Linked DNA regions of Rhinolophus ferrumequinum. The protein of the gene in region 2 binds, or shares a complex with, the protein of the main gene of each other region. Links are inferred from orthologs where the notes say so. Each region holds a gene or a part of one and is shown on either strand. Other genes may lie near its edges. The genes, in order: CNOT11 and CNOT6.

Region 1 (8,168 bases), on a different chromosome or scaffold from region 2:
CGTCCATCAGTGCAATCTGTCGCGGTGTCTTTTTGAAGAGTTCCCTTGGGGGTGCCAGCATCAGCTGGGAAAGAAAAAATTTTTCTGGTGGAGTTATAGGAGGCAAAAATCCTGCAAACAAAGATGTACAATGATTAATTTTTAAAACTTAACATGAATCTGGTAAAATTAGCATTTGCTACTTGCCGTCTCGATTCACATATTTTCAAAACAAAATTATAATTAAGTTCAAGTTTCAATCATAATTAACTAAATATATACTTTTATTAAAGGTAATTAAATACGTCATTGGAAATGCTATGATTTGTGGCAGTATCAATGAAAACAAGGTTTTTGTAACTATTAAGAACTTTGTTTTTCACATGCCTCAATCCCTGCAAAGGCTAAAGCTTACATATGCAAGCAAAAACAAGTAAGAGAACTCCAGCACTTAGGAATGCTTTTTTTTCTTCTCTGCTGCTGCAGCCACTGCAGAGGTTGAAAAGAAGGAAGCAATCACCAATAACGCAAATACACTTCACACACCTGCTTCAATACAGTGACTGGTTCCTTTGGCCCCGTATTAACTGTTCACCATCCATCCTCCTGCAGCGTCACCAGACTCCGGTGACTCCGTTCCCTCCTCGCCATTCCCTCTCCCTCCTCTCTTGCCTGGACTATAGGACAGCCTTCCTGGTTTCCAAAGCAACCCCTTTTGACTCCTGACCCACCTACAGTCCACACCCCCACTTACCATTCTGCTATATTTCTAGGCACAAAACTGCTCACGTTACTTAACCTGTTTACACAGAATTAAACCCAAACTTCTGCACCATTTGAAAACCCTTCGTAACCTGCTCTGACCCCCTTTCCCGATCTCATCTCTTGAATTCCCCTCCAATGCCTGTATCCTACACTCCAGCTGCACAAAATCAGCTTCTCTGATTCTGGATTTCAAAACATCCAACAGAGCAAGTTCTTTGAAGAATACCTGGCAGGGCCACCCCTTTTCCTCCCCGCCACCATCTCTAACAGTTACACACTGGAGTTTGCTCTGTGCTACTGAGCATTTGGTATGTGACATGTAGTACAGCCCTTACCACACTGTGTTATGACTATGTTTATGTCTCCCCAACCAGCCTACACGCTTCTTGGGCACAGGGAAGCCTTCTGATTTACTTCCAGATACATTCTCAACCCTGGCTCTGCATGAGAATCATCTGAAAAACTTTTAAAAATACACTCCTTAGACACTCTAGGTGTACAATGTCATGAGCTTTGGCACCGATATTCCATTTATTTTTAAGCACCATCCCTACCTGCTTTAATGAAAGTAATGATGATAATGGGTAATACTTATTGTGACTACTTTTATTCCTAATAACTCTACCAGCAAGGAATTACCGGCATTTTACAGACGTAGAAACTGAGGCATAGAGAGGTGAAATAAGCCATCCATGGATTCCTTCCCTGGCCCATTTGTTTACAACGCAGTCTACAGTCTAGATCTAGGTTTCGACTCATTGCATTTGAGAACGACAGTATATAAATCATGGTTCTTTTGTCTAGCTCATGCAAAGAATTCAAAGGGCCCTGTGACCTAAATCCGTCAGTGTCCCCATCCTCTATGGGCTCCGTATGGAGGTGGGTTTTGACCACTCATACACATATTGCATTCACTTTCTGAGTATTCTCAAACTTCAGGACTGTACCCTAGGGGCATCTCACCCAACAAAAAAGTTGCCCCTCGTGGATAAGGGCAGTGCAGGAAACAAACCAGAAGACGCTCTAGATCCAGAGGGATGTCAGGCAGGACGACAGACTAGCTTAAAATGTAAAAGCCCTCCTGCACCATGAAAAACTGCATGGTATTAGCTCAAAATCTGCTGTCTTAGCCTTTTGACTCCTTGTAAAGCAGCCCTGCCTATAGAGTGATTTGCCCTTTACCCACGGGTGAAGGACACCAGGTTAAGGACTGGAAGATCAAGCTGTTTCCCACCTCTAACTACCTGGGCGTCCCCCATGACACTGGTCCTTCTCTAAGTCTTCCAGGTACCGTTATACTTGTCACCATCCCCTCTGTGCCTTTCTCCTCTCCTGGCTGCAAGTCTTCTCCCAAAGTCAAGTCTCATAAAGCATCTCTTGAGTTAAAAATAAAATTAAATAAGAGGCAGCCTCGCATGGGGCCACTGATCTGATCTTACCAATGTTGCACACAGTTCACATAATGCGTTTTCTGACCTCGGCGGTGAATTTGAAACTATCTATCCTCTGCTCCCATCACATTATCCAAGGGCACCTAACAGTCCAACAAAGATGGCTGCAAAGTCCTTAAAAGCTGTTTAATGTGTTTCCACCCAAAACTTCGGGTTCTGAACAATGGCCTCTACTTACTCGTCTGAAAGTTAAAGCCAGGGACAGATCGGTGGGTCACTAGTTACAATTTCACACCCCTCAGACAAGCTTTACAAGAACGAACTGTATTTAAGGTACTAAAAATGTCAAGCCCCCCACTGCGCTGCATAATTTGAACGGCCTGTACTACTGAGAAAAATCATCTTCGATGCCATGAACTTGTAATTAAGCTACCACTTCTCCATACTTTAAAGGTGGGGGAGGCAGAGATAATTTCAAAAGGAGAGCTCATTTCACTTTCGGGGCAATTTCCGACAGCGCAGGTGGAAAACCGACGAACCTAACTATCCACAACGCACACCGGGCTCCGGGAGCGAAGGGCCGGCCGCGGCGCTTACCCGAGAGCGGTGGCCGGTCCGGCTCCTGGCCGCCGCGGGCGGGCGGCGCGGGGTTGAGCAGGTGCGCGAAGCTGGCGGCGAAGGGGTTGGCGGCCAGCGGCTCGGTGCGGTACATCTCCCACAGCAGGTAGAGCGCCGTGAGGCGCTGCGCCGCGCTGGGCAGCAGGTCCGGCTGCTGCAGGAGCATCACGAGCACAGAGCCCAGGCGGAAGTGGTCAGCCTTGCTGAAGTAGTGGTGGAAGGCGGTGGACAGGCCCTCGAAGGTGGTGCCGCCGCCCGCCTCCTCCGAGATGATGCTCAGCAGGCTCGAGAGCTCCTTCGGGGTCAGGCTCATCCTGCCCGCAGGGCCCCCCGGGCCTCCACTGCCCGGCCCGGGGCCTCCTGCTCCGCCTCTGCCGCCGCTGCCGGAGACCCCCGGGCCGCTCCTGGACGCCGCCCCCACCGCTTCTCGGGCCCCTCTTTGCTCCGCAGCGGTCAGAAGCCGGCCAGACGCCGCGCTCGCCCCGCCGCCGGGCATCAACCTCTCTCGCCTGTCCCGCTTCCCGGCCGGAGTGGCCCTAACGCCGGCTCGCTCCGTCCCGCGGCCGTAAAGCGCGCTGTTACACGACAGCGTCGCAAACCAAACTCGTCGGGGAAGCCAGGGCGTCGCAAAGGGCTGGGCAGCGCGGAGCGAAAGCGAGGCTGGTGGAGCGAAGCCAAGGAGAGGATCCGGAGATGGGGTGGGCGGGGTCAAGAGGCCGGAAGTGGGGGCGGGCCTGCACGGTTCCGCTCAAAAACTGCGGGGGTCTACGTGTTGAGGAGTGAGTTCCCGGCGGAGTTCCGGGCACCAGGTGGTCCCACTAGCTGGGGGCTACATTGTTTGGAAAAGTGCGTCTTAGATTGTAAATGGTTTTCTTAATATGACATACATGACTCTTGGTGGTAAAAAAAAAAAAGTTAAGTGCAAGTCACTAACACATTACTCATAATCAAAGTTAATTTCCAGTTTTACACTCCTTTTTGCAGAAATGGAATCATATTGCACAGGAGCGTTTGTACATCGTATTTTAACAAGATTTAGGAGGAATGTTTCCAGTAAATATTTACAAAATTGTGCAACTTTTTACATAGTTTGCCCTAGGACGCTGATTCTGGGCCTTGGCTGCTTGTTGGAAGCCCCAGGGCGTCTAAAAATGCTAGTGCCTGGTCCCACCCCCAGAGATGTTGACTCAGGTATTACAAAACAAAAACCAATCACCTCCCCAGGTGACTAGCATGCACTCTGGTCTGAGAACCACCTTGTTTCCCAGACTTGCCCAGCTTCTCCCTGGATCCACAGAAACCTACAGGCACATTTCACCATTAGTTCCCACCAGGTGAGTTTGGGAAATCCAGTGTGCACTAAACAGTGCTAGCAGTTTAAGAATTATTAAATTAAGCACCAACTTAATTGTAAAGTAAAATTGAAGGGAGAGAAATTGCTGCGTGACCACCAGCATATTCTAAAGGCTTCTTTAATTTACTGCTAGATTACCCTCTAGAAAGTTCCTGCCAATTGACATTCTTAATAGCAACTGTTAAAAAACAAAATTTAAATCTGAAGATCTAATTGGTTTCATTGAGCAGATTCATGAACCAGGCAGCATCCCATCTAGTAGTAAATAACAGAGAAGTGCTCCAAGGGGCTGTACAAAATTGAAGGTTTTTATAGGAAACTGAGTGGGACAAGAAAGTTATTAGCAAAAGAAAACAAAGATTGTTTCAGGCAAGGTCATCTATCTTTGGAGGAAGGCTGACAGGGTTCTTATCAGACAGATTACCTCACAAGTGTTGATCAGGAAATTCCAGACTGATTGGTTTATGATCACATTCCTGAGCCTACATATGTAAGTTTAACTTTTTTTTTTAAGATGTTTCAAAATATTGAAACATTATAATAACCCGCCTCTACCCCCAGAACTTGTGAAAGAGAAAACCACATGCCAAAATGGCATCACTCATGCTAAAAGCCCATGATACCAAACCTTGATTTAATACCTGACCTAATTGCTGTTTCAACCTCTCTCAGAAATGTAATCTTAATCAACCAGTCTGGAATTTTCTGGTCAAGCACCAGCAAGGTAATCTTTCCCTCAGTCATCTCCATTCCCCCATAGAAAGAAGAGGCAATCAGCATGATAAAAACTCTTTCTCATTCTCTTTCCCCTCAAAAAATGGCCCAGCCCCAAAACAATCCTTTTTTTCCTTCTATCAATAGCTCCCTTGGCCTACCATTCCTGTAAAAGCCTTCCATTTTGCACATTCCCTCTGAGTGGCCTTCTAGTGGATAGATGGGATGTTGCCCGATTCATGAATTGCTTAATAAAGCCAATTAGATCTTCAAATGTACTTGACGTTTGCTTTTTAACAAACTGCTTTTCTTTAGGAACACTTTCAAAATTAAGATGATAGCCAGAGCTTCCTACATATTCCCTGAAAACAACTCTCAGGCCCTGAATTAGTTTCCTGGTAACCACAAGCTGGGTGGCTTAACCCAATGGAAATGTGTTCTCTCACAGCTCTGGAGGCTAAAAGTCCAAAATGAAGGGGTCAGGAGAGCCATGCTCCTTCTAAAGGCTCTAGGGAAGAATTCCCGCTTGTCTCTTCCCAGCTTCTGGTGGTTGTCAGCAGTCTCTGGTGTCCCTGGTCTTATGGCTGCACCATTCCAACCTCTGCCTCTGAGGTCACTTAGCCTTCTTCCTCGTGTGTGTGTTTCATATGACCTTCTTATGAGGAAACCAGTCATTGGATGTACGGCCCACCCTAATCCAGTATGACCTCATCTTTACTAATTATATCTACCAAGACCCCATTTCCAAATAAGGTCACATGCTGAACTTCCAGGTGGATATGAATTTTGAGTGACACTATTCACCCCAGTAGAGGCCCTAAGTTCTCCTGAGCATATGGCTTGGTAGTTCTTCTTCACATCCAACTCATTTCTACCTTTATATTTGTTAACCTAAAAATAAAAGGCCCAAGTGAGAGACAGCAAACATTTATTTGAGACCAAAAGAATAGCAATTTGGGAAACACTGATGCAGACAGAACCCCAAATAGTGTTCCTATCAGGAGATTTGGAGGCAAAGGCATGGGGTGTTTATGAGAAACGGACAGGACAGGCACATCAATAGAAGGAAGGCATTTCTATTGGTGAAGGTAACCAAACAACAGAGTGATGTTCATTCTAAACAATGTTTATAATTTTCAGTCCAGTTGTTATCAGTCATAATATCTGCTTTCTTGTTCTCTCTCCAAATTCTTCTTTGGTCTTGTCTACTCCACTGGCTGGGGACCCTGACTTGAGTTTGCCAGATCCTTTAGGGTTTGGAGCTCAGTTATGGCTGCCTGTAGAGTTGGTCAGTGTGGGGACAGAGCCCCAGAGAGCAGTTTCCAGGCTCTCGGCCTCATGCGGAAAGGTGCTGGCTCAGGTAGTAGATGGCCGTCAGCTGTGGCTGGTTGGCCGTCGGCTGTAACCATTGAGCCATTGGCCACTAATATAACTGCCGTGGCTGCGTTGGGGAGTCGAGGAGAGTGGAGGGAGGTCAGAGAGTCGGTCGGTTGGCAGAAAAGCGGACAGCAGGTCGCAGGTCGTGTGAATCCAGCCTCCAGTGAGACTATAATGGTATGACTCCCCTTCCTATGGCTCCGTGGGTGTTCCTTTTTGGCCTCACCATGTCCTGCATTCTTCTTGTGTGGGGAGCGGGAGCTGAGACCCCGCCTGTCACCCCGCGTGACAGTCAGTTTTCCCCAGCTGGCTCCAGGACTGGCAGGTCAGAGCTTATTGTAGTTCTGTGGTCTAGAGCTATCAATATGACCCAAGATGAGGGTGGGACTGCTTAGGACACTGAACACGTAAAGGTAAGACATCTTTGGCCTAATTTTTAAATTAATACTAGAAAGAATGTCAGTATTTCAGAGATCTTTGTACTACGTGGATGAGGTGCCTTGAGAATTCAACTTTTACTGATGAGGTTAGCAGATTAGATCTAATGATATAGCAAGGGTCCCAAATCATTTGATTTCATTGTAACTGTTGGTCAGTCCTGAAGATGGAGCTCATTGTTGGCATTGGCAGGCTCAACATGTCCATGGCATACACAGCCATGTCAGTCACTTTTTTTCTCAGATCTAAGCTTTTTTGATGCTCTCACGTTTCCTCCTTTTCTTCCAACGATCAGCCTCTGAAGGGGTAGACAGCAAAAATCCAGAGATCAAAGCATGCACAGGCATCCTGGCCACCGTTGTACCATGCACGTATGTGACATTTTGCCTCCAGTCATGCTGGTCATAGTAGACAGCGCAATGCCAAGATAACTTTAGATCACACATACCAAATTGAGTACATCTAGGACATAGCAAGACTCATCAGCTTCTCCTCTGAATATTGAGTTGGCTTTTGCAGAAAGCAAGTCACACATTTATTATAATAAATAATAACCCCCACCCCGAGTTTCCTTTCCTGGGTAACAGAGAAAATCCACAGGAAAGCGTCCCCCTGCCTCATCTGATCTATCCTGAGAAAGAGGGGAGTTTTCTTTTCTTTTTTCTTTTCTTTCTTTTTTTTTAAAGAATTAATCTTTCTTTGTGGATTGTTTTAGCATATTTATTATAGGGCCTGTAATTTAGGAAAACCTCTAATCTTAGTCTCTAAATGGCTGGTGGGGCTTTCAGAAAAATAATTTGGTAATATGCACTAAGAGTCTGAAAAATATTGATATCCTTTTGTCTAAATAATTCTATTTCTGAAAGGCTATCTTAAAGAAATAAGAATCAGGAAAGCCCTTTTGGACGAGATAGTCACAGCATTTATTGTCATCAGCAACACCTAAATGTCCAACAATAGGGAATAACTACAGCAAATCTACCAGCAGGAATATTGTAAATGTTGTTTACACAGTTTAAACATGTAAATGTTGTTTACACAGTAAATCCATCTGTGGAGTACTACTCAGCAAATAAAAATGAATGGACTGTTGGATGGATCTGAAGAGAATTCTGCTGGGTGAAAAAAAGCCATTCTCAAAGGTCACACATTTATGATTCCATTTATATAACGTTCTTGCAATAACAACATTTTAGAGATAAAAAAAATAGGTTAATGGTTTCCAGAGATTAGGGATGGTTGGGAGCAGAGAGATGGGCGTGACTCCAACAGGGTCGCAGGAGGGAGCTTTGTGGTGATGGAACACTTCTGTATCTGAATTGCAATGGTAGCTACATAGGTGTACAAACGTGATAAAATTGCATAGAACTACACAGGTCCATTGTAACAGTGCTTATTTCCTAGTTGTCGTTGTGTACTCTAATTATGTAAGATGTTGTTACCATTGAGAGAAGCTGGGTGAAGAGTACAGGGGAACTGTCCCTACTTTTTTTTTTTTTTTTTTGCAATTTCCTGTGAATCTACAATTATTT
Region 2 (7,170 bases):
GATCTTTAAATCACCTTATGCCCCCACTAAAAATATTTTGGCTCCCTCCTTTTCTATAGGATAAAGATATAAACCTCACTTTTAGCTTAGCAAGCAGGGTCTTTCAAAATCTAGGCCAGACATACTTTTTTGCAGGTTCATCTCTAGTCAGTCTCCCTATTCCGGTAACATCTCACCATTGACCTCACCCCAACACTTGGCACCTCAGTGCACCCATGGTTCCTTCTGTTTGAAATGACCCCTTATCCCCAGTTGGACAAACACCTTTTCTCTGTTATTTTCTGTAAACTGCTTCCACACCTTCCACAAATACAACCATTTTCTCTTCTATTCTCCCACAGAACTTGGTACACCTACTAAGCCTATTAAACTACACCCAGGCAGAAACTTGAGTATTCAGTTTTGCATTCTCAGGGTCCAGCATAACTATTCCTCGATATGTAACTTAAGCTATCAAGAAAATATAAAGGGATGAGGGAGTAAGATTAAGGCAGCCTAAATGAGGCCCCATCTTAGAGGCAAACGACCTTCTCCTCTTTAATTACTACTTCAAATACCAAAATATAGTGCATTTCATTGTACTCTAATGAACACAGGCTATGCATACAGTAAGTTTTACAGTTTATTCAGCATTTCTTAATTTCACATACATAGTGTTTTGTTAATCACACTGTCCTAAAATGGCTACCTTCCTAAAATGAGCAGCAGTTAAGATGAAAGAAAAAAGTACATGGATAAAAGATTTTGTGGAAGCTAAGGATTTGAAAATTAAAATTGGAACTTTCCCAAGACAGTAACATTAAGTTCCAACCACAACAAAAGTGTAATTAATAGCATTACATACCCACAAATCCACGTCTTTCTTTTCTCCATTAGAGTATGTTCTTAGCTGAGCCTATTTAGACTTTTCCAAAGTGATAAACACTTTAAAAGCAGAGCTTTCCCTAGTGTGCCTTGCACATGGAAAAAGTACAAGTGTGCTGAAGATGTCGGCGCCCCCACCCTCAGCTGTGAGCAGTCCTTGGGCCTTTATTCCTGTTTGCGTTACATATGAAAACGTTGCATATGAAAACGGTGTATGCTTTAAAGAATATAATAAGGCTCATATGGGTATAGCACGATGCCTAAGTATTAACCAAAGCACATATTTATAAACTACAGGTAGAGGAGGTAGATTCCTACAACACCTTTATTTGTTGTCAGGATCGAGTTCTATAACCACCCTCATCTCTTTAAAAGAAACTAGTCTGAAATTTCCCAGTAACAGTACTCTGCCCCCAAGATTTAAGATACCTGAAGATACCTACAAAATCAAACAGACATTTAAAAGGGCTTCTTCATTTACATTACCACTGATCGAGACACTTTTGTCACATCTTCGTTTTTGACCATTTCACTGTCATGTTCACCTGAGAACTGACCAGACTCAACTACCTCAAATAACTTCAATCCATTAAAACACCCTCTGCCCTCCCCAAAGAACTATACTCTCCAGCAATTACATTCTCATTTGCTCTCATATTCATACACAACCTGGTCCCTCTTAACTGTAATATGTTTGGGCCAGTCACTTTAACCTTCTAGGTCTTTCCTCATCAGCACTTACTCAAATATTTTGTTTAAAGCAAGTCGACTGGACTAGATCACTCGTCTAAAAATATTAAGCAATTTTTATTCTAAAAGTCATGACATTCTAAAGACAGTGACAACTGCTGACAGCAATTACCAAAAAAAGTCTTCAAAACCTTGACCAACGGCTGTATCAGCTCCTACAACCTACAAAACTGGTTTGGAATGGTAAATCCCAGTCAGTGTATTGTGAAAAACACAAAGTGTTATTACATGCCATTTTATTTTTCACTTCCTCTCCAAAATTCTCTTCTCTTCAAAATTAAATTCCCAGAAACAAGGAAGCAAGAAGATTCCGCAGTAGCACTAATAGGACAATCCACCTGGAAAACAGGTAAATATGGGAACTCAAATTCAAGCAGATTATTGAAACAATGTCAGCTTAACACAATAACAAATCCAGGAAGGTCCAGCAAGATGACCATTCACAATGTTGTCATTTGCAGTAACAGTTAAATAAAAAGGTTACCGGCGTTAGTTAGCAGGCTCTTTGGGGAAGGTGGAGGAAGAGTCAAAGAAAAAAGTTTCCGTATTGTGGGGAGTGTGAGGAGGAGAGGGGGAGGGGGGGAGGGGGGAGGAGGGGGGCAGGGGGGAGGAGGGGGGAGGGGGAGAGGGGGAGAGGGGGAGAGAACGAACTCCGGTTACTGGAGAAAACTGCTTCAAGTCACTAGAACTACTCCGAGTCCTTACCTTAGCAATACCATAAATCTTTTCATTCGGTGCTAAGCGATTCTTTAACCATGTCATTCCCACCCACTCCCCCAAAATCTGCGTTAAACTGAATTGTAAACACTTTTGGGGGAGGGGGTAAACAGTCGGTTTCCCGCTTTGCGAGGTTCCACACTCTGCAGCGCGCAATCCCACAGCCACTCCTCCAAAGTTGCCACCCATCCCGGCCGCGAGTCTCGGACACCGACTCGCCTCCTCCCGGGGACCCGCGCCGGGGTCCGAGGGCCAGCGCGCCCCCGCCCCGCCCCTGCGCGCCGCCGCGCCCGCCGTCAATCAACGCCCCCCACCCCCGGTTTGGGCGTGGGGGAGCGACTCCCGGCGCTGCGCGATCGCAACGTATCTTGGGGGCCTCAACAGCCGCCAACTCAGCCCAGCTACGGGCCCGCCGCTCGCCAAGCTCAAGTTGCCCGCTCCCCGCGTGCCCCGGGGGCACGACCGAGCGGGGCCCGTGAACAGCCAGTGCGGGAGCTGCCCGGCGGGCTTGGGCCATCTCGCTCACCTCTCGGGGTGCGCCGACCTCCGCCGCCGCTGCCGCCTCCTCCCTGTGAGTGCAGCGGGGTCTGACCTGTGGAACCACCATACCAGTCCCGCCCGCTGCCGCAGCGCCGCCGCCGCCGCCTCGGCCGCCGCTCTTTGTTCCCCCTCCGAGCGCCACCGCCTCAGCCGCCCGTCTCAGCTGCCCCGACCGGCCGCCACTATGCCCTCCTGCCCTCTCGGGCCCCGGCCTCGCCCTCCTCGCTGTGCCCGCCGCCGCCTTCGCCTCCGCGCCGCCGACGCCGCCGCCACCGACGCCGCCGCCTCCTCCTCCGCGCCCCCCTCGCTTTCATTGAAAGCAAACAAGCATCATGGCGGCGGCCGCCGTCTCCCAGCCAGCGAGCGCCCCGACCGCCGCCGCCTCTCCAACATCCCGGCCGCCCATTGGCCGCCGCCACCGGGCGCAACCATTCGGCGCCGGGAGGGGTTTCTTCCTGCACGCGCTGCCCCAGGCCCCGCCCCTCCACCCCCGCCCTTGGGGACGGTGGTCCGGCCCGGCGCGCTCCCGGCCCTCCCTCCCGCTCCTCTTCCCGCTCTCCTCATTCCCGTCGTTCCCGTCACTTCTCTTTTTTCCTCTTTTTAACGGCTGCTCTGGTTTTCATCCAGCTCTCTTTTATTTGTCTCGGGCTGTTCACTTTTGTCTCCTCTCTTCCCTCTTTTTCTTTGATCTTCCTCCCCTCCGTTTTGCCTGTCAATCACATGGAAACATGGACTAGCTCTCAGACTTTTGACCTTAGCCAGTATCTTGATTTGCCTAAAGATGAGACATTCAATCGTGAACAGTCATATGAGTTTTCTTCCCTCAAATATGCTGAAAAAATTACTTAATGGCCCGTTGCGCTCCATCAATGGTCATTCAGTCCAGTAATTGAGGGACGGTTCGTGTGGTGGGATTCTAGCTGGAGTAATCGTCAGCATCTGCGTTCAGACATGGAGGCGTTCTATTCAGGTGGTGACTGAAGGCGAGCAGAGGAAAGACTGGACTGGCTGACGATGGGGTGGACACCTTAACTTATATGGCCAGGCTTTGTGCTGGGGCCAGGGCAGAGAGATGAAGCAGGCCCCACTCTGCCCCGAGCAAGCTCATAGTCTGGAGGCAAGAGAAACAGCCAACAGACTTAAAATCCAGTAGAGAGGCAGACAGGCATGGCATGAGGGGAAAAGGAGTAGCCATCCTCTCATCTACATGGCAAACTAGGATGGGCTCCCCCCTGAGATATCAACCCTGAAGAAATACAAGTGAAATGGGTTCTGGTAAGTAGCAATAGCGGTAAAGTAAGACACCCCCACCAAAGGCTGTCTTGGGCTAGAGTATATGGAAACGGGTGGCTGCTGTTGGGGCAAAGGTAGAGCTGGAAGAGCAAGGAAAAGATTGAGGGACAGAGGCTGCCGAGGTTCTGTGCTTGTCTCTCCCCAGCATGGCCTGGGGATGGTTCCTGCCTGCCATTTTCCAAGAAATCAACATGACAGCCCAGTCCTCTAGTGCCATAGGACACTGGACAAGAACAGGGCAGCAGGGGTTAGGGGTTGAAAAGAGCAAGTGCAGACTGGCCTGTGGGCATCCCTCTGTATCCTCCAAACCCAGGCTACTGAGTCTAGGGTTAAGCAATCTGCTGTACATCCAGCTGGTCCTCTGCCTCCATGTGAGTGCTGTGCCCTGGCAACCTGTGCTCCAGCCTGGACAGAGGGGTCCCTTTTTTATAATTCAGCTGCCCAGAGGGAGCTACTTTTTGTGGTTGGCGCAATATGTATGGTGGAGGGGACGTCCAGCCGCATAACAAAAAACTCAGTGGTGTAAACTAGTTTATTATAGCTCATGATAGACATAACTGTGCCCAGCTAGACAATTCTGTTGGTCTCACTTGGGCTCTCATGCCTCTAGTGAGATGGTGGCTGGGGGTTGGATGTCTGGCACCTTGGTGCCCCCAGTGAGGTCTTTTTCTGTGTTGTATCTCATCCTCAGCTTTTCTTTGTGGTTTCTCTCTCCGGCAGGAGATCTTGGACTTGTTGAATGGCAACCCAGGGCTCCACGAGGGAGCAAGTGGAAGCTGCCAGGCCTTCTGAAGGATGTCACTTCAGGAGTCTGTTAGTCATAGCATCAAAGCCCAGTCCAGATTCAAGAGGAGAGGACATAAGCAACACAGGAGCTGCATGTATGTACAGGGAGGGACAGAGTTTTGGGGGGCCATCTGATAGATTGGGGGAACCCACAGGGAGGGTACCAGTGGTGGCCCTGCCTGTGCACGTCCTGTTCTTTCTGAATATCTGAAGAAAACCCTAGAAAAGCCTCTCACCTTTGCAGATCCAAATCGTGCCTTTCATGTGAGCCAAGACTTCCCATTGCATTGTTATAAAACCCCAACTCAAGTAGACTTTTTGCAGAAAGAGATCATTTGCATATTCAGGTGTCACATAACTGAAAAGTTCAGGCATAATAAGATGCCATCCAGAACAATCTCACCCCTCCACCTTTCACTCTGCTCTCCTCCCCACTGGCTTCTTCACACAGGTTGTGTAGCCAGGCAGGAGAGATGGCCACTACGACAGGCAGGCGTAGATTCTACCAGCTTCTCCTCTTGAGAATTTCTTTCCTCATCGTTTTAGCAAGAACCCAGGGCAGCTCTCACTGGCCTGACCAGAGCTCTGGTCTTACTCCCTGCAGCCAGGTGTGAGGTCAGCCCTGCATGAAGTAGATGTATTGAGAGCAGGGAAGGACCATCCCTTGGGGAATTGGGGTGGCCAGAAGGAGGGGAGCAGATTCCACCTCAGGCCTTCTCAGGGAAGGCTTCCCAGCAGAGTTGGTTCCTGTCTCCTCAGGCTCCGGGCCCCTTTCCTGCCATCAGGGCACTCAGCAAAGATAGCATTCTCCCTGCCAGGCTGTGAGCCACTCCAATCTAAATCATGTTGCCCCCATGCCGCCAACTGGGGCTGCTTTTGAGTCTTTTCCACTCACAGGCTTTCGCAGTTCCTTCCTCTGTTCTGAACACCTTGACCCTCAGGCCCAGTGGTGGGCATGTAACCAACCTGGGATTTGCTATGTGGATGTGGGAAGAGTTCTCATACCACTGGGGTCCTAAACTGGGACAGTATGAGTTGGTGGCAGCCAGTGCATCTTCCCAACACATGGAGAGATGAGAGAGAGATGAAGAGAGATCGTCTTGGTGACAGAGCCTTGGTACCAGGTGCCAAAATCCTGATTTTGATAGTTTTCCCTTTTATCCTATGATCTAGTCCAGGTACATGAGCCAATAAGTTCATTTTTTGCTTAAGTTAAGGTTAGGCTTCTGTCACTTGCAATCAAAATACTTCTCATTTGATGCTTAGTAAATGTATTGGCTAGTGGATAGGAGGATAAATAACGAAGATGGACAACCAAGAGGTGGCCATGCCTGTTGATGTGGCTGTGGTGTCTATTTTGCAGGCGTGTCTGGAATTCAAACTCAAGGTCGGTGTAGGATGTGGACCATAACTTTGTGGGTCCAGCAATTGGACTTGCCAAGGTCCCCGGAGATGGGGAGCATTGCTCAGAGTGGCTGCAGTAACTAAAATGCACAGGAGATGGCGAACTGATGCAGGCTCCAAGGTTTATTTGCAAGATAAACCCAACCACGGTGAGACCCGAATGCTTACAGTGGAAGATCCACGTCTCCCAGTGGGAAAGCACATGGCAAACCGGTCTTGCCAGAGGGTGCTTGGTGAGCCTGAACTGTGGGCCCTGTGGAGCCACTCAGCTCTGACAGTCTGACGCCTCCTTTCAGGGTGGAGACTTGCTGACCAGGGCCAGCACTGGTGAGGCCTCCAGTTTTTCTCAGAGAGGACCCAGTCTAACAGATGAACTTGCAGGTCCCAGTCAGATCTCCCCAGAGTGTCCTTTGTCTCTGGGCCCACTATATTAGCCTGCAATTGATTGAAAAACCATCTCAAACAGCTTTAAGAAAAGAAAGGAGTTAGTTGGGTCTAATCACTGTAAAAGGCCAGAAAGAGTCTATCAGCTTCAGGGGCTAATCTAGAGGCTAATGCACTCTGCTCCTCTCCATGTTGATTTTATCATCAGGGGCAGTATGGAAGCAGAATGGATGCCAGCTCCTACAAGATTCAAGCCCAGAAGGAAAGAGAGAGCTTCCCTCAGCAGCTGAGCAAATGTCCTGGGACTGACTCATTTCCATCCCTGAACCAAACACCACGTTTAGGGTGATATCCTACCCTGGCCAGGAGGAAATCACGTGCCCTCTCCTGGAGCTGGATCATCTTTAACTTCACTCAAAGCACATATGGAAA

The links.
Region 1: CNOT6 (region 2) and CNOT11 share a complex: the UniProt entries of both Homo sapiens proteins name them as parts of the CCR4-NOT complex. The link is inferred for Rhinolophus ferrumequinum from reciprocal best matches to the Homo sapiens genes CNOT6 and CNOT11.

The regions. Positions count from the first base shown.
Region 1 is NC_046296.1:3,473,205-3,481,372, forward strand, and holds the start of CNOT11 (CCR4-NOT transcription complex subunit 11), read right to left. Parts: upstream 3,326-8,168; 5' UTR 3,250-3,325; coding exon 2,733-3,249; intron 112-2,732; coding exon 1-111. UniProt on the Homo sapiens protein: Component of the CCR4-NOT complex which is one of the major cellular mRNA deadenylases and is linked to various cellular processes including bulk mRNA degradation, miRNA-mediated repression, translational repression during translational initiation and general transcription regulation.
Region 2 is NC_046307.1:3,498,036-3,505,205, reverse strand, and holds the start of CNOT6 (CCR4-NOT transcription complex subunit 6), read right to left. Parts: upstream 3,020-7,170; 5' UTR 2,858-3,019; intron 1,953-2,857; 5' UTR 1,850-1,952; coding exon 1,843-1,849; intron 1-1,842. UniProt on the Homo sapiens protein: Poly(A) nuclease with 3'-5' RNase activity.